3 linked regions of the Arabidopsis thaliana genome follow. The protein of the gene in region 1 interacts with the protein of each later gene in a pairwise test. Each region holds a gene or a part of one and is shown in the gene's direction. Other genes may lie near its edges.

Region 1 (9,341 bases):
GTGCATCATCTTCAGAATCGAAGGTGATAAAGCCGAATCCTTTAGGTCTCTGTGTTTCTGAATCTCTAATAAGCCGAGCTAAACAACCCCACAAACACAAATTTAGTTCATAACCGAGCCTTAAACAAATTCAATTTCAGGTTTTTACCTTCTTTGATTTGACCAAAAGGAGAGAACAATTGCCTCAGAGATTGATCTGTGGTATAAGCAGATAACCCTGCAAGAGAACAATTTCAGAAACCAGAGCAAGTAAAAAGAGCAAGAGACTAAAATCAGAAAGAAGAAACCATTCTCGTACTGCTTACGAAGAGTTGAGCTGAGATTCTCTTAGCCATCTTTAACAGTAATCCAAACGGATTTCGGAAATGACTCAAAAATAAAGCTTTTCTAGGTTAAATGCTCGAGCGGACGACGCCGTTTTCAGAAGAAACACAGATACCCAACGAAACGACGACGTTTTTAAATGCTGCGAGAGGCTAATTCAACAACCGATTCATTTGCAGTGAAGAAGAGATAATTTAGCAGACGTTTCAGCAAAAGATTTTACTTGATAGATTTGATTTAAGAAAGAAATCGGATCCGATTTGATTAACATCGCAACAAGAAAACGAAACAGAAATCGATCAAAGAGTCAACAACAACCATCAAATCTAAAAAACCCTAATTTTACAAACATCGATTTCAACAAGATCCACAATTCAAGAGCTAGTAAACTTAGTCACCGCCTTAGTTCCTTCAGAAACAGCATGTTTCGCAAGCTCACCAGGAAGAACAAGTCTAACAGCAGTCTGAATCTCCCGAGAAGTAATCGTCGGCTTCTTATTATACCTCGCGAGCTTCGACGATTCCGATGCCAATTTCTCAAAGATGTCGTTGATGAAACTGTTCATAATCCCCATAGCTTTGCTTGAAATACCAATATCTGGATGAACTTGTTTCAGAACCTTGAAGATGTAGATCTTGTACGTCTCAACACTCTTCTTCTTCATCTTCTTCTTCTTATCGCCGCCGGCACCGGCTTCCTTCGGGAGTTTCTTGCCGGCTTTTGGTTTCTTCTCTGCAGGAGCTTTCTCGGCTTTTGATTTCTCCTCTACTGGTTTCTTCTCTGCCGGCTTCTTCTCTGCCTTTGGTGCCATTTTCTTCACACGAAAAAAGTTTCAAAGAAAGATTCTGAATTTTAGAAGATGGAGTCGTGAGATCAAGTTTTGTGTTTGTTGTTTAGACGATTCGGTAGCTCATGTATATATATGACCATGAATTAGATACAGATTGGTTAATTCTCGTTTCACGAGGATTGATGACGTGGAATATATTACGTACCGTTAGATTAGAATAAATCCGTCGTTGGCAGTGAACGGCTAAGCATCTCTCACCTTTTTAAATGGGCCATTAAGCAGCGAATCAAAATTAATTTCGAGTTTTATCTTTTAACGGGCTAAAATGGGCTTAATACCTAAATAATAATCTGTTAGTCCTAGACGTGAATCAGTTAAGAGAATGCCATCAATGTTGATACAAAGTCCATGTTTGGTTACAAATGGGCCTAATTATGTATCAATAATGGGCCTAGTTATGTATTTATAATGGGCTTAGTTATACATGAATCTGTCCCGTGAAAGCGATAAAAGCGAAAACCCTAAAAATAGTTCCGTCTTCTGTTTAATCTCTTTTTCAAGGCCAAGCGAGCAAGAGACGTCGGAGCGGCGGCTACTACTTAGGTTTCAGGTTAGTAATCGCCGGAATCTCCATCTCTCCTCTAATCCGATGAACTGCTTTATTGTTTTGTTGGAACACCGGCTTAGTTAATCTCCCCAATTTGATGTTTCTCCAGAGAATCTAGATTCCAATGTCATTTTCAGAGTGTGTAATTTTTAGGGAATCGAATTCGTTCCCTCTGTAGATGTTTTTATGTACATGTCAATAAGATTCGTGAAGCTGTTGATTTATGTTTTTGCAGTTTTTGAAATTTTGAAGAATGGTGAGAATCAGTGTGCTCAATGATGGTCTTAAGAGTATGTACAATGCAGAGAAGAGAGGAAAGAGGCAGGTTATGATCAGGCCTTCTTCTAAAGTTATCATCAAGTTCCTTATCGTCATGCAAAAGCACGGTATGCTAGTAACTTTGCAGAGCTAGCGTTTGATTCCTGTATACAGTTTTCAAGTGTAATGATGCTTCTTGGTTTTTAGGTTACATTGGCGAGTTTGAGTATGTTGATGACCACAGGTCTGGTAAGATTGTTGTTGAGCTTAATGGAAGGCTGAACAAGTGTGGAGTTATCAGTCCTCGTTTCGATGTCGGTGTTAAGGAGATTGAAGGATGGACTGCTCGTCTACTTCCTTCCAGACAGGTTAGTCTAGAGACTATATAGTAGTGGTACCAATCAATGTTTTAGCTATTGATCTGCTGCCTTACTTTGCTGTTCCTATTATGGTTTAATTGGATGTTTAGTGTCATTACTTTGCCTTACTTTATCTTTCAATGTTACAACTTCATTGAACACTTCTCTATGTGCAGTTTGGTTTCATTGTTCTGACGACCTCAGCGGGAATCATGGATCATGAAGAAGCTAGGAGAAAGAACGTTGGTGGCAAAGTTCTTGGGTTCTTTTACTGAAGCAGGGTCTCGAGATCTATCTTATCGGGTTATAGTTTGGTTCTCTGTAAGTCGATTGACCTCACTGTCAAAGTAGTAGTTTTATATGTTGTGGTCACTCGGATACGTAAAAACTTGGAGATGAGTAGACTAATTAATTTCAGTTTTTGAATTCGTTAGACTTGCGATTTATGAAATCAAAATCATCTTTCTTGACTTATCGTTATATGTGGCATTTACTCATTTTAGTCTCGTGCTCTTCTTGTTTGTTTTCTTAAAACATTTTAATATGTTTTTCATTTACAATGTTCATCAAAATACAAACAAATCTCTGAGGGAACTGTGAAAATTCGAAAAAGATTTTAGAAATACTGACAAAATAAGTTAAAATTCTAAGAAACAAAATTTAATAGTTTTCCTTCCAACAAGGTTTCTATGCTACATAGGTATAATTTTAGGTATTCTTCGTTAATAAATTTGAAGGAAATAACTAATAACGCACAAAAACCCTAAATCAAAAACCTAAGAAGACGTTTACCAGAAACAAAAAAACTAAGAAGACAATGACGACGAAAGAGAAGAATAAATCATCAAACTCACCGCCTCCGACGTCGTTTTCTTCGTTACCGGACGACATCGTTCTCAACTGTTTGGCTCGTGTCTCCAGATTCCATTATCCAACTCTATCCCTAGTCTGCAAGGGTTTCCGATCACTCCTAGACTCCCGTGAGCTCCACGCAACACGATCTTGCATCGGAAAAACCGAGAGTTTCCTCTACGTCTGCTTAGACCTGCATAGGAATTGCTATCCAGACTGTCCTCCACGATGGTTTATAGTTTCCCCGATTACCAAACAGAAACTGAAACCTATCCCTTCGGTTACTTGTCAATCCTCAACCGTTGTATCAATCGGTTCAAAGATTTACATAATCGGAGGCTTCGTTGATGGACATAGTAGCAGGAGATTGATAGTACTCGATTGTCCATCTCATGGATGGCGTAGACTCCCCGAGATGCGTGTACCTCGACAAAACGCAGCAGCTGATGTAATCAACGATAAGATCTACGTGATTGGAGGCTCTAGTTCCAACAATATCGAGGATTGGGGAGAGGTTTATGACCCAAAGACCCAAACTTGGGAGCCAGTATTGCCCACAACACTAGATCTTACTGTTCAAATGAGTGTGGTTCCAGGTAGCTTGGTAATGAGTGGGAAAGTTTATGACATGAATGGATTGAAGCTTAACTTTCAGAAGAATATTTGCTTGGTGGAGATAGAGAACATGATGTGCCAAACAAAGGTTTGTGAAGGGGTGTTAGTTTGGTGTGAACCAGAGGAAGATCGTGGGTGGTGTCCGGTTGATGGACTTGAAGGACTTCCCAATAGGCCAACTTCTCCTGGTTATCTTACCTCGGTGGCACATTCCGACCGAGGAAGAAGAGTAACAGTTTGGTGGGAGTCGGCTGTGTTACATCGTCTAGGTCCCAAATGGACTAAGGAATGTAAAACAGAGATTTGGTGTGCAGAGATTTCGTTTGAGAGACGCGGTGTTGGAAAGGTTTGTGGATTTGTTGAATGGTCTAAGAATGTCTTTACTAAGGATGACTACAAAACTTATAAGTTACCTGCTTCTCTTTCTGATTTCTTCTTGAATTCTACCATTGTGACATATTGATCAATGGAAGTTTATGTTAATTTTTGAGAGAGTTTTAAATTCTTTTGTGGGGATTTTGTTTAGAACATCTTGAGTATAGATTTTATGATAATGAACGAAAATACTGGTGGTGTTTATGTATCTCTAATAAATATGCAGTTGCGTAAGAACATAAACATCAACACACTTCTTATGAAAGAGTTATATATTGTTGAAAAGTATAGTTGTATAGTAGTAGTATATATTTCCAAAGATGACTTCAGATTACATTAGTATACAGTAGTAGTATTTGATACCAAATATAAAAATAAAAATTACTATAGCATTGTTTTAGTCCAGCTAATTGATTTTAAAGTAATTAATAAAAGGCCCATAAGGCTTCGTGCCTTCTTCTTTCTATATAGGCCCTTCAAAAAAGAATCCTTCTCTCTTTTTCTGCGCACTCCTTCGTTTCCAACTAACGTGCGCAGTGTATCCTATCGTGCACGCGAAGCAGACGAAGAAGAAGTAAAATAGAAGAAGCCGGGAAACAAAAGCTAAATCGGGAACTGGCGCATTTTAGTCGTCCGCCATAACCTTCGCTCTCTGATTCTTCCGATTACATCGGTTTTCTTCTCTCTCCGGTACATGATCTTCTTCTTTCCCGCAGCCGATTCATTCGATTTCTCCCTCTTTTGTTTGATCTAATTCGATTTCGATGAAACTCAGATTTTGATCTTTGAGTTTTTGTTTCCTTTAGATTCAATGGCTGCTCCACCTGCTAGAGCCAGAGCTGATTACGATTATCTCATTAAGCTTCTTTTGATTGGAGATAGCGGTACGTTGATCTGAAACCTCTCCGATGTTTTTATCGTCGATCCGTTGAAATTTGTTGAATCTGTTTGATTTCCATTGAATCGATCTATTCCACTGTGATTTTTGTTTGTGATTAGATCGTTGTGTGGATCGGTGTTTGTATTGAGAGATCTCTGTAACCTAAGGTTTTTTTTTTTTGTTGCAGGTGTTGGTAAAAGTTGTCTTCTTCTACGTTTCTCTGATGGATCTTTCACCACTAGCTTCATTACCACCATTGGGTTTGTGTTTTCTCTTTGCTTATGGAGATAAATTGAATTCTGTGATGTTTGTTTTGGATTCTGTTTTTACAGAGTCTTGTTTCTCTATTTTGCTTTGATGTAGCATTGACTTTAAGATAAGAACGATTGAGCTTGACGGTAAACGTATCAAGCTTCAGATTTGGGATACCGCTGGTCAAGAGCGGTTTCGGACTATCACCACTGGTGAGTTCATCTTTTTCATAAGAATTGCTTGCTGGATTAGTACTTAGAGCATTCACAACATCAGTAATGAATCAGATTAGATAGATTCTCGAGGAGATGAACACTTACATGTGCTATGATCTCTTGTACAATGCCACTTGACTGATTTATTTTGTTTGGCTGATTACTTTACTTGGTCTTGTATAGTTGATGTTTATGGGCTATTTTCGACACTTCATAGTTCATCTTTTCGTATAAATGTACTCACTGATCACTTTGCTTAGCATTCACCATCACAATAGAAGTCAAGTTAGAAAGATTGTCAAGATGAGATTGATGACAAACGCCTATAAGTAGTCTAAGATAGCCACTTATAGTTCTAGGTAAAGGGGATGCATTTGTGCAATGCCAATTTACTGATTTGCTCTTTTTGGCTGGTTACTTTTGTAGGTACTGTCTAGTTGATATTATTAGGATATTTAGGCAGTTTATACTGATCTGTTTCTGTTGTTTCAACACCATTTTGACGATTCTTTTTCTCTCGCATTTTCGCAGCTTATTACCGTGGGGCAATGGGCATTTTGCTGGTGTATGATGTCACAGACGAGTCATCCTTCAACAGTAAAACTCCCACCATCAAGTCTTTCACTTACTGGTTTCTATAAATCTCCTTAACCAAAATGAACATCTCTTTTACTAACACGATTCTTGACGTTATTGCAGACATTAGGAACTGGATTCGTAATATCGAACAGCATGCTTCGGATAATGTTAACAAGATCTTGGTAGGGAACAAGGCTGACATGGATGAAAGCAAGAGGGTATGAAGCACACCACCTTTATCCCTGTTCCTTATTCACGACTGATCCTAATAATAATAGCTTCTTGGTCCTGTCAAAATTTTCAGGCAGTACCTACAGCAAAGGGTCAGGCTCTTGCTGATGAGTACGGAATTAAGTTCTTCGAAACAGTAAGTCTAACAATGCTCTCAATCTTCGAAACTAGATGGGTAGTGTTTACATTGCTTACACATCTAGCTATATATGTGTTGTTGTTGCAGAGTGCCAAGACAAACCTAAACGTGGAAGAAGTTTTCTTCTCAATAGGGAGGGACATTAAGCAGAGGCTTTCAGACACCGACTCGAGGGCAGAGGTTTGTTACATCTCTCTCTTTCACATCTTTGCGTTGTTAGGTCTGAAAACGCATTGATCATTCATGTTACGTGGTCAATTGCAGCCTGCAACGATCAAGATAAGCCAAACGGACCAAGCAGCTGGAGCAGGGCAGGCCACACAGAAATCTGCATGCTGTGGAACTTAAAAAAGTTTTAAAAGTGAAGTTTAAGTCGAAAAAAGTTTGGGGGTGAAGTGAAAAACTAAGATATCGTTGGGTGCTTATGTAATTTTTTGTTTTATGCCAACAATTCTGATTCGTTCTTCTAAATTGTCCTTCCTATTTGTACGAAGGTTTAATCGAAACTTGTATTTTTCTTTTCTATTACTGATTTTTTATGACGGTGACTGAATTGTTTATGTTGGTCATCACTTCTCTCTATATATCCTCTGTTCTTAATTTTTCTCTTGCTTCCTCTTTTATCAAGTCTTTAAACATTACTTCTAATACTCGTAAACTCATCTTTGACACAACCATAAGCAATACAAAACCATAATATGTACACTGCCTGATTTATGAGTCGTAAACGTATAATTGTGTTAGCAATCCAGTGATGAAGAAACTTATCATGTTTTAGTTGCACTACAGTTACTATAGCTGACACTTATATTGTAGTTTCAACACCAGTTAAACCATTCTCATAGTTCAACAACATTCTAGGGTTAATAAAACGTGAAACCAAAATTTAGCGAACAAGAAAATAAATCTTGAATAGTATATCAGATTGTATTCAGATCATGTATTCACATCGAATAGTAAGATAAATGGATCAACAAAGACTAAAACCATGTAAAAAGTACTACTCTATGTAAGATTATCAATAAAACTAAAACCCTAACGAACATGAAAAATCAGTACATCGTTCTTCCCAACTCCAATTCCGTGTTGACAAAGCTCTCCACCGAAGTTAAGTCGAAATCCAAACACGCCACTCTCTTCCCACTACTCGATTTCTTCAAAGTCGTCACCGTTGTCGTCTCCGGCATGAAAGAATGCGTAACCAATACGTTAGAAGCCTTTTCTCGTTCTTTCTCGTTCCTATGTTTCCTCATGTGACCACCAAGAGCTTGTCCCATCGGAAACTCCAAGCCACAAATCGGACAAGTATGAGCCGTCGTCGTAGTCGTAGTTTTAGGCTTCTTCTTTGGTGATCCAGGAAGTGATTTATCGTCACTGTTGGTTAGTTTCGAGTGGCTTGCACGGTGGCCTCCTAAAGCTTGGAACGAATCGAAGTCTCTCTCACAAGTCTTGCATCGGAAAACACGTTTCTTTCTTCCGTCGTGTTCTCCAATTCCTGATAACAACATCAGACAGCTCGCCGCCGTATCCACCGTCAGATCACGATTATCACTTTCAGCAACCATGATTTTAGTTTCGAATCGAGCGAGTGACTTTCTAGGGTTTTGTTTTATGCTTGTGTGTGTTGACTCACTCCTCTTATATATAGGAGACTGGATTGAGTAAAGACGGTTTTAATTGACGAAAATACCCTCTCAAGACTTGCTGCCTAAGTTAGTAAAAATTGAAGCTGCGGTGTAAAGATGTACATGTAGAAAATCAGAGTCACCGCTTTAACACTAAAAACTCGGAAAAATGGAAATATTCATTTGTGAAAGAATATATTCTTATTGCTTTCCTCCACTAATTAGACAAATATTGAAAGACGTACTATAACCAGTTTTAATTATTTTTATAAAAAAAACAAGTTTTAATTAATATATAAATATGTATATTATATATAAAAAATATTGTAATTATCTTAATAAATATTTTATTCTAACGCGGTCTCTTCGGGTTCGTGTTCCTTCTTAAGCCGCCTTTTACTATTTGAGATTGGGCAAATCTACTTGGTACGTAACTTATCCGTATTCATTTATCACCAAGAAAAAGAAAAAAACTTATTCATAGTCGACATACTTCTAGAACTTTTTGTTGGTTCGATAGTCAATATTTATGTTCAGTTTATTTGTGAAACTCATGTCCTAGTAATTACACTTACACGCATATTATTCATTTGTATATACTTCGGAATCTTCTGACCTACGTCTTTTTATTCGCAATGATCAATAGAACTCAAGACTTGAGAAGATCATCGTGTCATTATCTAACTAAGATTTTGTCACAGTAACGTACGTAAATGAGGGACAAGTAGAGGTGTGTGGCTCTCGCACGAGTCACCGAGAAGGGAACGAATAAAAAGTGTGAAAATAGTGGTTGTACGGAAACTAGAGGGAAACTATTAGAAGCAAAGCAGAAGAAAAAAAGAAAATGAGAGAGTGGTTTGATGCGACATTTTTGATACACTTCCACGCGGTTTCTTCTTACCACAAATCTCTTCACATGTTTTTATTCACAAATTAGGTTTATCTCTCATATTCATCTCCCACTAAATAAGCAAATAGAGACAAGGATGTTATATCTGTAAGCATTTAGCTAATATCTAATATAAGAATACATATAAAATTAAAATTAATAGAAACATTTTATTGTTGAAGTTTACTACACACAGACTTCTCTAAGCATCTTACCTATTTATTTTATGTGCTAGTTTGACTGTTTAAATTAATTTTAACTTCATTATTTATATTCGACACATTATTCAAATCTCAATGCAATGATTCAATCTCTAGTTTGACGATTAAAAATTTGAATAGTTGATAATT
Region 2 (6,089 bases), on another chromosome or scaffold:
CATTTATTTATTACTAATTGTTAAAAATCAAAATAAAATTAGTTAGGCAACACTAGACTTACAAATTCTTTGGAAATGCTTGTCGGTGGCTTGTGAGGAAGAGTTGTGTTGCTATTATGGAGTCCTTTTACATGTTCTCTCATTAGCTTATCTTTTAGGAGCTTTTCCTCCTTATGTTTGTTTGCCCTTTAATTTGGGTCTTAGTCTTTGGAGGTTTCTATGTACCCATCAATGTTGTCTCCGAAAAGATCTTGTTCTTGTCTGTTTTGTATATCTCTACCGCAGCTAATGAATGAAATCTTTAGACGGAAAAAAATAACACTAGACAAGATGAAATTAGGTTGATGAAATTTAGTTTCTAGAAATTTAGTAACAATTTTTTCTTCTCTCTTTTTTCCTCACTTAACCCTCTAACATAATCAATTAATCATGTATGTTGGTAATTTGTTTTACACGCTATATCTTATAGAATATCGTCGATAAAATTATGTACGACATGTTTTAACTTATAACATCTTCATGAGAGGAGGACCAGGAGGTAAGTCTTGACTCTTGATTCTTGCGAAAATAAAGAACAAAATGTTGGGTGATTGTTATTTTTTCGGGATAATGATGAATATTAGATAAGTCACGCTTACATCGACAAAAATTATATGGATGGACTACATTTGTGGTTAGTTGTTTATAAATCAATTTACCGAACATGAAACTATATTTTTACATGGTGTTGTAATAATGTTAACACGTTCGCATTACCCGGACGGAAAGGTGGTGTTGAACGGTGATGGTAATAAAAAGATTGTATTAGAGTGTATATACTTCGTTTAGTTATGGTTTAGTTTGGTTAGTAATTATGGTTTAGTTTATTTTGTATCTATATATATATTTTTGCAACACTTTTATGAAATAAATCTTCAAGTTGGGATTTATTTACAACCCAATGCCATTGGCATTTAATATTTAACAATTTTATTTTCAAATCTAAATATAAACTAATTTTGTTACTAAAATTTAGGAAACTAAAATAAATATATCACAACAATTATTTAAATCTTTCCAAATCTAAACTAAAATATACTACTCACTAATATTCCTATTTAAGAGGATCAATTAGCATTAACGGTATATTATTATTGATATATATGAACTTTATAAAACATTAATAATATTTATCCTTATAAAAAAATATTAAAATATCATAAAACGAGTTATATAACGGGACGGATTTGGATTGATATAACACGAGTTAAATCTTTATTTATTATTTTATCATCACCAAATTTTTTATTTACAATATTATATAAAATTATATAACTTTAATACTAAATTTAAACCATAAAATTTAATATTATTATATATATGAATTAAACATTTTTCCTGTGGTGTACCACGGGTTAAATCCTAGTTTAAGCTTAATCATGTATCTCATTTACGTTTAATGAAGGTTTCACTATGGTTGATAGATTGTGTTGGTGTGTTGGTCAACAAATTCCAGCACAAAATAGTTGTGTTAGAGGAGAAAAGAGATTGATAAATATGTAGAGGACATGAAGATAAAGGGTGAGAGTGATATTTTGATCTTGAAAAAAATAATTATGGAGTAACTGATAAGTGATCATGGACAAAAATGAAATTAAGAGAATGATTTTCCATTCATTTAATTTGTTTAGATAACTTCATCTTCTTCTTTTTCTTCATTCTCTTAATTTCAACTTTGTCCATTATCATTCAATCCAATCACTCATCAATCAATTAGCCTTGACTAATTGTACAGACATAATAATTAAATCAGTAAAAGTCAAAAGCTATTATCATCAAGCAATGGAATCCCATCCCAGACTGCAATTAACAAATGGCAATTGAGAGTTTAACAGAATTTGACAACTTCTTTTTGTTTTTCTAATTGACAACTTTTTATTTGGTCAAATCCTATTGAACTATAATATACTATTATTATAGTTTATTGGTGCTAAGAATGTGAACCAAAGTGATTAGTTAGCAAGTAATAACCTTATTGCACACTATAATACTTTCTTATATTTCTTCTAGTATGGTTACGTTTTAGTGTTAAACTAAAAGAACTGACAAAAAGAAAAAAATTAGATATAGCCATTAGTTATAACTTATAGCTCATGATGTCACATATGTATCATGTGGCTTACATTTGTTCAATTATCCCAGAGATAGTGATTTGTTATCCATAAGCCATATCACTAACCTTTTTTATGGACAGATTCCAAGTCTTCAAAATAAAATTTCAACTACATGTATTACTCTACATAATAAGGTTGGAAGCTGATTTATGCAACGAAGCCATCTTTTTTATACTTCCTACGATCTTTAAATAAAAATGCTCAGAGGTACAGAGGACACAATCCAAGGTGAAATAAAAAAGTGAACCAAAAATTAACGAAATAGAAGTGTCTTAAAATTAAGCAGATAGAGATAGGGAACGAAGAAATAAGATCGTTGAACAGAAAAAACTTGAAACAATCTAGTTTTGCTCTTGGGCTTCTGCAGCCTCCTTCTCTTCATTAGCTGCAGCCATTAGTTCATCAAACTTCTCAGACTTGGCAAGCGTGATCTCAATCTACAAGTCACAGTGTCACCAATTTAGCAACCAACATAGCAATTTCCCAGAGAACAAAAATCATTAGACGGAAGCTAGAATTCCACAGCATAAGCAATTTATCAAATGATTCGAAAATATATACCTTAGCTTTCTGCACAGGACGACCCCTTGAATCATCCTTGATATCCACAGTCGATGTCATGATCTCTGCAGGAAAAAACAATATCCAAATAAGCAAAACTTAGTCACTGAATCTTTCAAATCTCTTGTGCTAACATTAACTCATTCAAGATTAAGAAGATCTTACTCTTTTCAACAGCAAAGCCATTGTTCTTCAATATCTCAGCGACCGTAACAACAGTGGCAATAGCTGCACAACGCACAAATCAATGTTTTATGAGAAACCAGAATAAACTCTTCCAATAAAGAAAGCTCGGATAAGATATTACAAAATCACAGAAGATAAAAGATTCTATGTCATAACAATAAAAGGAAACAGCTTTTCTGATAATAACTTTGAATTTAATGAACTCAGTTACATAGTTTAAAAACCATACATATTAGATTTGATATATAAACAAGATCATAAAGAATAAACATTACCCATTCCTAGTGCAGACAATTCGACATCAGTGTACTGCTGCATGTACCTCTGTTAACAAAACACCAAACATGGTCAATAACATAAACAGGTTTAATCAAATCTAAAGAGCAAAACAAAGTTCACAAATCTAAGGAACAAACATTGATAAAGAGTCACATAAACAACACAGAACCACCAGTAATAACTCATCAAAGTCAATAACAGATAAATTAACACTCATGAACAATCACAGACATTTCCAGACTTGGTACTCAAATAAGAACACTTCGAATCCATAGATTTCAATCTAAATACGAATTTATTAAGATTCGATTAAAAGGGTTTCGTTACCTTGGCGAGATTGACGTAGAAGAACAATGGTTTCTTAGTGTTGGAAACTTGAATCCGATTCTTCTTCTGGGTATCAACAGCCAAGTTCATGTTGTTAACTCCTTCCGTGATCTCTTCCATTGAATCTAACTCAGAAAAATTAAAACTTCTCCTCTCGAATTTAGATTTCTCTCTCACTTTTATCTCAGAAAACGAATGAAATTGAAGAGACAGAGAGACGACGATGAAGCTTGAACCAAACCCCCAAAAAACCCTAACTTGAAATGCCAAACGACATCGTTTTAACACAACCTACACAAATGGGCTAGGCTCCAGCCCAATAGGCCCAATTGGGGGGAAAATTAATTCTGCGATGAGCAAAATCGGCGTTATCCGATCAGATCGTTGAATTGAATCTTCGAGAAGACTCTTCTTTTGATTCAATCACTCACCGGAGAAGAAGAAGAAGCTATGCCGGTGTTCAAAGCTCCGTTCAATGGCTACTCTGTGAAATTCAGTCCATTCTACGAGTCACGCCTCGCCGTCGCTACAGCTCAGAACTTCGGAATTCTCGGAAACGGCCGAATCCATGTCCTCGAGCTCGCTCCTGGAGCTCCAGGCGTAACTGAATCCGTCTCGTACGATACAGCCGACGCTGTATACGACGTATGTTGGTCAGAATCTCATGACTCTGTGCTCATCGCCGCAATTGGTGACGGCTCAGTGAAGATTTACGACACAGCTCTTCCTCCTCCTTCTAATCCGATTAGATCATTCCAAGAGCACGCGCGTGAGGTTCAATCTGTGGATTACAATCCCACGCGGCGCGATTCGTTTCTCACTTCTTCGTGGGATGATACGGTTAAGCTTTGGGCTATGGATCGTCCGGCGAGTGTAAGGACTTTTAAGGAACATGCTTATTGCGTTTATCAAGCAGTTTGGAATCCTAAACATGGTGATGTGTTTGCTTCTGCTTCTGGAGATTGTACTTTAAGGATTTGGGATGTTAGAGAACCTGGATCAACTATGATCATCCCTGCTCATGATTTTGAGATTTTGTCTTGTGATTGGAATAAGTATGATGATTGTATTTTAGCTACTTCTTCAGTGGATAAGACAGTTAAGGTTTGGGATGTTAGGAGTTATAGAGTTCCTTTGGCTGTGCTTAATGGTCATGGATATGCGGTGAGGAAGGTGAAATTCTCGCCGCATAGGAGGAGTTTGATAGCTTCTTGCTCTTATGATATGAGTGTTTGTCTTTGGGACTATATGGTGGAAGATGCTTTGGTTGGTAGGTATGATCATCATACAGAGTTTGCTGTTGGGATCGATATGAGTGTTCTTGTTGAAGGTTTAATGGCGAGTACTGGTTGGGATGAGCTTGTTTATGTTTGGCAGCAAGGGATGGATCCTAGAGCCAGTTGATTCATAAGTAAGTTTGTGATTGCAAAACAGTTTCATCTTTATTTGTTGTGGAATTGGTTTGGTTTTTGTTAAAGGAATGTAGTTGGAATAAAGTTGGGATCTTGCTTAAGAAGAAATGTAAGTTACTGAGAGTTTCACATATGAACAAGGTTATCTTTCGAATTGTGATTGATGGTAATAGTAGATAGATTGCTTATGTTCTAGTGTATATGTTAACCTGTTACAATGAGACCTGATTAACATATATATTAGGACTAAGATATATGTTAATCTTCTATAATGTCCAAAGTAATGACATAATATATATAAAGTCAATTACTTTAGGGTAATGTACCTTTTATAGTATACTGTAGAATTCGAATTTTGTTCTTTTTCATAGTTGATTGACTTTATTGAGTGGCATAAATGTACATATTTATAACTTTCTAGAGCATATTGCAGTTTCGAGCTTTTGCATTTTATGCGTCTTCAGGTAGAAGCTTATTAAAATCACAAGAACATTCTTACGGATCTTCCATTTCAAGAATCACTTTCTACTTATTACTTTACTATTATACCACTCTCTTTTTTATCTTATTCCATAGTATTAAAGATTCTTTTATTTTCTTATGATTTTTTTTTTAATATAGTACTCCGATCCCAAACAAAAGATCTCAAAACACATTTTGTCAAGTCACAAGACTCACAACCGTCTCAACTTTTGGACTAAATTCAAATCAGACAAATAATTGGGTTAAACATATGAAAGGGCTTGACATTATATCATATAGTATTAAAGTGAACTATAATATTGCTTTATCCACGAGGTCAAGAACATACTATATGTAATAGACACACATTAGTATTGACTTTTTATGTTAAAACTAGAGATTAAATTTTGTGAATTTAAATGACACATGTACGATCTTTTACTTTTGTTGTGATGCACGCGGAAGATGTTGCGAAGGATTAGAAATTGTTAAAAGAGAAGAAGGTGGTAGACTGCTCTTCATTTAGGAATATTTCTGACCATAAAACTTGTGGCATGGAAGATTATTCCTAAGAAATTATACGAAGAAGAGATCATTGTCGGAATAAAACATCGGTCTTATTTACAATGCAGTAGCATTGTACCGTGGAATATGCTTCTTTCCAAGTTTATATAACATCAAATTTGCAAGTTACAATTGTGAACATGTG
Region 3 (6,811 bases), on another chromosome or scaffold:
GAAATGCAGGGGACCTGAAGGAAGTGCAGTGGAGCTAGCGATTCGCAGTGGACCTGAAACGAGACTCTTAACTTTGACGTATTTCTCTCATGCCTACATTTATCTTCGTTGTCACGTTCATTTGGTAACTACAATTGTTGTTATTTCAGGCGAGAGCGGGTTTCTGTGAATCCAGTGAAGTCAAGATTATGTGAACTTCCTGGTTCTGGGAGTAACTCCCCTAAGATTGGCTATATCAAGCTAACAACATTCAATCAAAATGCTTCTAGTATGTATTCTTTGGCATTACTGATTCCTTCTTACAAATTTATCTACTCTCTAGTTTATTATCTCTCAAAGTCTTAACACTTTTTTTGTAGGTGCGGTAAGGGAAGCTATTGAAACCTTGAGAGGCAACAATGTAAACGCATTCGTCTTGGACCTTCGAGACAATAGGTGATGATTTTTTGAGAACATAAACTCTTTTTTGCTTTTGCAACAGCCTTTCTTAAAAAAATTGTTCTTGCTGCAGTGGAGGTTCTTTCCCAGAAGGAATTGAGATTGCTAAATTTTGGTAATAACCTCATAAACCGTTACATATAACGAATTAGAAAATTTCAAGATCCACAGCTATCATAATAGAAACTTCAACATTTGCTATCCACAGGTTAGATAAAGGAGTGATTGTGTATATTTGCGATAGTCGAGGTGTTAGAGATATATATGATACTGATGGAAGCAATGCTATAGCAACCTCTGAGCCTCTTGCCGTTCTTGTATGAGCTTCCATCCTTCCTTTCCTCAAATCTAGTCCTTATTGTAATCTGTAAATGCCATGAAAGATTTCATTCTCACACAATCTTTCTCTTTTCCAGGTTAACAAAGGCACCGCGAGTGCCAGCGAGATATTAGCAGGTGCCTTGAAAGATAATAAACGTGCTCTGGTTTATGGAGAACCAACTTACGGAAAAGGGTAAACAAAATGGCGCTATTTTTTATTCTTCTTCTCAGAGACCGAACCGTAAAATTCCTGAGACTTTAACGCATTTTGCAGCAAGATACAGTCGGTTTTTGAGCTTTCTGATGGTTCGGGCTTGGCAGTAACAGTTGCTCGATATGAAACACCAGCTCACACAGATATAGACAAAGTATGAAACTACTTTCTTCCTGTAGTAACCCCCTCTGTGTCTACACTACACTACATACAAACATGTTCTTACAGTCTTGACTCGTTGCTGGTTGTTGTATAGGTCGGTGTAACTCCTGATCATCCATTGCCAAAGTCGTTTCCGAAAGATGAAGAGGCGTTCTGTGGATGCCTTAAGGATCCTACAGCTGCTTGTTATCTCAATCAAGGCCTACTTTTTTCTAGATGATTTTGTTTTGTTCAAACTTTGTTCTGACAACATATGACTAAAATTTATTGACTCAAGCTTTGTACTTTTGAAGATTCGCCATAGCTTTAGCTAATCGAAACCAGAAATTTCACATTTAAGAACACAAACAGAGGATTTTCCTTCAGAACCAAGTTATATTACAGAGACAAAGCAGTAACACTCTCTCCTTCAGAACCAAGACTCAGCAAACACAAGCCAAATCAAACCAAAGTGAACTACTCTATATACTCGATAACAAGAAACAAGAGACCAATAGTCCAACAGACTAAATTGTAGGAACAAAGAGAGTCGTGACAAACATATACTCATTGATGCTTCTTGATTGATGATGAAGCACTTGTCCATGCTTTTATGAGCTTGGGGAAATCAAACTGCGAGCACTATAATAACAATCATGAGCACGATACCAAAAATCACCAAGAGCAAGCACGTCTACAAGAAAAAGAAAAAACAATGGAAAGAAGAAGTTAGTAGGCTGATCTGATCATCCAAAATCCTCAAAAACACATTTCATGGTACGATCAAAAGCTTTAATATATTACCAGAGAAGAATTTGATCTTTGTGTCTTTGATGCCTTACGAGATGGGATTTTCCTTGGGCAGTTGCAGCGTAAGAGTTATCGATGTGAGTACCAATATCATCTACACAAAAATAGGTCTTACGTCTTAGGTTTTGAAGACATAAGTGAGAGTTTTAGCATAACAAGAGTTGGAATCAGTTTTACCTATCATGTTTCCTTGATCGTGCACCAACACTGCCAAGTCTTTGAAGATCTCGTGCACCTCGCCAATTTGCTGCTGAATTTCTTGTATCCCTTGCTCTCTTTCCTCAATAACAGCCTCATTGAACGCAATCTCATTGTCCAACAGTACAAGTTCTTGTCTGCAACAAAAAACAACAAACCAATCAATAGATAACTCATCAACCGAACAAAGATGGACACCATTGTCTGTATAAACTAACCTTTTTGATTCCACAAGAAGGGCACGCTGCTCTGGATGCTTATCTCCATTCACATCTATCTCACTGGATGTGTAGCTACATTACCAAAGCCAGGAAATCAATACACAAAACCACAAAAGTAAACATAAACCATCAATGAGCATTAACCTTGAGGGAAGAGATGGCTTGTGGACAAGAGGAGCATATACGGTTTCTCTTTCAGCAGCAAGACGCTGAGCCTTTTGAAACTCTTTCAACACAGCTTGAAAGTCCTTTGCAAGCTTAGCATCCACAATCTTCTTCTTTTGCTAACCAACCAATCAAATTCCTATTAATCAACAGAAGTAGCAGAAGAAGAACAAGAATCTTCCTTTATCATAAATGACTCACATTTACACCTCTTTGATGATCAGTTTCACTAGCTTCTTTAAGTTTAGCTGATGTATCTTTCACTAACTGTCCAATATATAATCTTGTCTTATGCCTAAAACAAGCAAATTGACTCAATTAGAAACAATTTCAAGTACCCTAAAACTCAAAAAGGAGATAACTTTAACTTTGAGAAGTACTTACAGCTTCTCTCTGAGCTCAGGCGTATCTTTAGGAGTACCAAGAGTATTGACAAGACGATGGAAAGTGGAAACACTTGTATTGATCTGAAATATACCAGAAGCAACATCTTGAGTCGTGTCTTGTCTACTACCACCACCATTGATGTTCCTTGAAGAAGCTAATGATCTTCCTCTTCCCGCCTCTAAATCTTGAAAACTCATTCTTTCTCTCTCTTTCTCGAAAACCCCGCCACTAAATTATCCTCTTTTATTCGCCCAAGAAAACAAAGCAACAACAAAATTCGATTTACAGTCGATAACGGAGATCGAGGGAAGAGAGGATGTGATGGTGATTTCAAGATTCCCCGGTGAGTTTCTCTCTCTCCGGACAGATTGAGAAAAAACGTGAACCGCGGAGAGAGAGATTGAGCAAAACGTGAAATGTCACATTACCTGTATGAACGGAAAAAGCTTGTACTTTTTTCATTTTTTGATCCTTAACTTTTCTATAATATTCCAAACGTGACTCTATAGTTTAGAATCTTAACGGTATATCCTCCTTTTATTATAAAGTGATAAATGGTCTACGATGATTACATTGCTCTGAGCTCAGGACACGTGGATGGTAGACATTGGTGGAGAAAGTGATTATGTCACGACGTTAATTGATTATTTTAACCAAGATACTAACAGATTACGGATTAATTAGAATTAGATTAAGGATTATGATAGATTAGTCCAGAATTTAATGAATAAAATCTCTAGATAGAACTTTACGTGACTAAAAAGGGTCAAAAGCAAAAGAAGTTTAAAATTAGGACTCTTTTTTAATCATCGCACGTGAGAAGGTTCCGACCATATCACGTGCCAAACCCGAATAAGACTCGTTTTTCCAAGGCGTTTAAAATCAGGTCCCACTTTTTTCTTTTATTTTTCACTCTTCTTCACATCAAATCCGCGACCAGAGATTTTTCTTTCCTTTGATTTTTCGTTTCGTTTCGTTTCAAATATTGTTCCTCCTGTGTGAAGGAAAAACAATCTTCCATTTCAATCCGCGTCAACGCGATTTTCTTCATGACGGTGAGCTTATCTAATCTCTTCGCTTTTTGAAACTAGTTAGTTTTGGTTTTTGTTTTGGATTTATCCTGAGAAAGGTCGATGTTTTTGCTGTTGATTTGATTGAGGAAGATGTGAACAGATCTGTTGATTTTGATTGTTGTTTTCTAATTTGTTTTGCGAGAAATGGCGTTGATTATTAGTGAAGAATCGCTAGTTTTTTTATTTTAGAGGATTTGAAGCTGTTCTCTGTTTTTGATTTGGGTGAAAATTACTGTTTCTGATATGAAGAAATTTTTTTTTAGGGTAAAATTGCTTTTGTTTGGATTAGGATATTCACTTTAGCATTTGTTTTGTTTTGTAATCTGTTAATATCTGATCTGTGCCATAGGATTAGTTTTGAGACAAGTATTTGCTTTTCCTAGATTCTGAGGTTCTTTTTATCTTCTTGTATTGATGATGCAATGTTTCTGTGTTTTCTGATCATTGTATTGATAATATTGGTTGCTTTAGGAGTGTGTGTGTGTGTGTTTAGTCATTGTTTTAGGCGATAAGGAATCGAGAAATGTGTAATCGAACAACTAATGAATAAGTCTGAGATTTTGTTTAGCTGGTGAAATGGTTTGAAATTTTAGTTTTTAAGTCACACGAGATTATATTTCACTTGCAGATGACAACAGTTAAAGTGAGCAATGTTTCTCTAGGAGCAACCGATAGAGATCTCAAGGAGTTCTTTTCCTTTTCTGGCGATATTCTGTACCTTGAGACGCAGAGGTTTGGTTTCCTCTCTATTGTTCCTTTTGAAAGTTTTAGATTACAGCTTTTAGTTCGTCAGGTTCTTAACTCTTTTGACATGTTTGTACAGCGAGACTGAGCGGACTAAACTGGCATATGTCACTTTTAAGGATCTACAAGGAGCTGAAACTGCGGTTCTTCTCTCGGTATTTTTACTTCTTAGCCTGTATTAGTTCCTCTATATGACTGTATCCTTTGAGTGACTGAGTATTAATGTAATTCTTTCATTTCAGGGAGCAACGATTGTTGATTCTTCAGTCATTGTCTCTATGGCTCCTGATTACCAACTGTCCCCTGAGGCTTTAGCTTCCTTGGTAAGCTCGTAATTCATCATCTCTTCTGAGTTTTTTCACAAGTTAAAATCTTACCATTTCATCTTTTTCACAGGAACCCAAGGACAGCAATAAATCTCCCAAGGCAGGTGACTCCGTGTTGAGAAAAGCCGAAGATGTTGTGAGCAGCATGCTTGCAAAGGGCTTTATCCTGGGAAAAGATGCCATAGCTAAAGCCAAAAGTGTTGACGAGAAGCACCAGCTAACATCTACAGCATCAGCCAAAGTCGCATCTTTTGACAAGAAAATTGGTTTCACTGATAAGATCAACACAGGCACGGTGGTAGTGGGAGAAAAGGTCAGGGAAGTTGATCAGAAGTACCAAGTCTCAGAGAAAACCAAATCAGCAATCGCTGCAGCGGAGCAGACAGTGAGCAATGCAGGTTCAGCTATAATGAAGAACCGGTATGTTCTCACAGGTGCCACGTGGGTTACTGGAGCATTCAACAAAGTTGCTAAAGCTGCAGAAGAAGTTGGACAAAAGGCTAAAGAGAAAGTTGGTATGGCTGAGGAAGAGGATAAGAGGAAAGTGGTTGATGAGTTTGCTAGAGTTCACTTGTCTGAATCACCAAAGGCAGCTTCATCAACGCAAGAAGCCGAACGTGAATCAAAACTCTCTGAATCTCCTGAAGCAAAGAAAGATTCTGAACATCTTGAGCCACAATCGAAACCATTGCAGCAACAATCTCCTCCACCTATGGCTTCAGCTCCTGCTCCGGCTCAACCTTGAGATATGCAATCAAAGACCTTTCTGATTCTTGTTGTAAACGGTAAAACTTGGAACTAATCTCTCTCAGATTGTTGAAGATGAAGATTGAACTTGTTATTTAGGACGAAGACTTGTGTTCTTGTAACATTGGATTCATGGTCGATTTGGTAATTAGACCTTAAAAAGAAAACAATTTTGTTCTTTTCGTTTTTCTTAAACTTATTTAAACCGGGCTAATCATCATGGTTAACTGAACCAAATACCGATCGATTTTTATTTTAAAATCAAAAATTTGATTAGAGCAATTAGCCCGTCAAGTGATTTTATGTAACTGAAAGTAACAAACCAAAGTAGATGTTACAAACACATTTGACAGGAAACGCTTTGTCGGTGATCTAAGAACTCTAATTATAAGAAGATTTTAAGCACTTTAAATTCAAAGAAGTATCAATTAAGAATAAATGTATATATTGACATTTGACAAAACTAAAGGAATAAAATCTCGACCAGTTAAACGCATTTATCAAAATATTTTGTTCTCAAGTGAAAAAAGAACAGATTTATTCATGGTATAAAAGGAAAAAGACAATTCGTTTTCTCACAATTATATATTGTTTGTAAACACATCATCTTAATTGTGCAAACAATATCAAAATTATACAAATAGAAAAGAGCACAGAAAAAAATGGAGAAGTCAGCTTTGATATTCATCGGTATTCTACTTTTTTCAACATGTGAGTTTCACAACTAAATTTATGTACCAATTGTATTCATCATCCTTATCATGTCATGAGCGTTTCTATAAATCATTTCGGTGATTTTTAGCAGGTACATCGATTATGGCACGAACTGGATATGTATCTTGCAAGACGAATTCTGACTGTGTTAAACTCAAATGTCCAACGCCATTTGGTGGCCCCAAATGTATTAGCGGTAGTTGTGAATGCCCCTTTAAAGAACTCATGACATTACCGAATGATACCAATTATGGTGTGGCTGCCTGCATTGACTATTGCAAGGCAAAAGGTGAAATTGTTTATGCATGTATC

Evidence for each region.
Region 2: the proteins of RABE1c (region 1) and PEX7 interact in a protein complementation assay, tested with the Arabidopsis thaliana proteins (one study listed by BioGRID).
Region 3: the proteins of RABE1c (region 1) and AT4G17720 interact in a two-hybrid assay, tested with the Arabidopsis thaliana proteins (2 studies listed by BioGRID).

The regions. Positions count from the first base shown.
Region 1 is NC_003074.8:16,912,916-16,922,256, forward strand, and holds RABE1c (RAB GTPase homolog 8A), read left to right. Parts: upstream 1-4,611; 5' UTR 4,612-4,871; exon of another isoform or gene 4,872-4,987; 5' UTR 4,988-4,992; coding exon 4,993-5,065; intron 5,066-5,248; coding exon 5,249-5,321; intron 5,322-5,424; coding exon 5,425-5,525; intron 5,526-6,059; coding exon 6,060-6,125; intron 6,126-6,227; coding exon 6,228-6,325; intron 6,326-6,411; coding exon 6,412-6,474; intron 6,475-6,564; coding exon 6,565-6,657; intron 6,658-6,741; coding exon 6,742-6,825; 3' UTR 6,826-7,103; downstream 7,104-9,341. Other genes in the region: AT3G46020 (RNA-binding (RRM/RBD/RNP motifs) family protein), read right to left, coding at 1-78, 149-217, 299-335; HTB11 (Histone superfamily protein), read right to left, coding at 699-1,136; RPS15AD (ribosomal protein S15A D), read left to right, coding at 1,976-2,108, 2,188-2,348, 2,516-2,614; AT3G46050 (Galactose oxidase/kelch repeat superfamily protein), read left to right, coding at 3,157-4,269; AT3G46070 (C2H2-type zinc finger family protein), read right to left, coding at 7,530-8,042. UniProt on the Arabidopsis thaliana protein: Involved in membrane trafficking from the Golgi to the plasma membrane.
Region 2 is NC_003070.9:10,220,967-10,227,055, forward strand, and holds PEX7 (peroxin 7), read left to right. Parts: upstream 1-3,848; 5' UTR 3,849-3,956; coding exon 3,957-4,910; 3' UTR 4,911-5,356; downstream 5,357-6,089. Other genes in the region: AT1G29250 (Alba DNA/RNA-binding protein), read right to left, coding at 2,495-2,590, 2,715-2,779, 2,880-2,942, 3,176-3,224, 3,507-3,626. UniProt on the Arabidopsis thaliana protein: Receptor required for the peroxisomal import of proteins containing a C-terminal PTS2-type peroxisomal targeting signal. Specifically binds to cargo proteins containing a PTS2 peroxisomal targeting signal in the cytosol.
Region 3 is NC_003075.7:9,861,632-9,868,442, reverse strand, and holds AT4G17720 (RNA-binding (RRM/RBD/RNP motifs) family protein), read left to right. Parts: upstream 1-3,779; 5' UTR 3,780-3,944; coding exon 3,945-3,950; intron 3,951-4,596; coding exon 4,597-4,700; intron 4,701-4,791; coding exon 4,792-4,867; intron 4,868-4,954; coding exon 4,955-5,035; intron 5,036-5,108; coding exon 5,109-5,783; 3' UTR 5,784-6,078; downstream 6,079-6,811. Other genes in the region: AT4G17740 (Peptidase S41 family protein), read left to right, coding at 10-78, 150-268, 360-435, 512-553, 647-755, 855-952, 1,034-1,127, 1,230-1,355; SYP23 (syntaxin of plants 23), read right to left, coding at 1,726-1,747, 1,919-2,018, 2,102-2,259, 2,341-2,415, 2,488-2,627, 2,710-2,803, 2,893-3,092; AT4G17718 (Defensin-like (DEFL) family protein), read left to right, coding at 6,448-6,496, 6,591-6,811.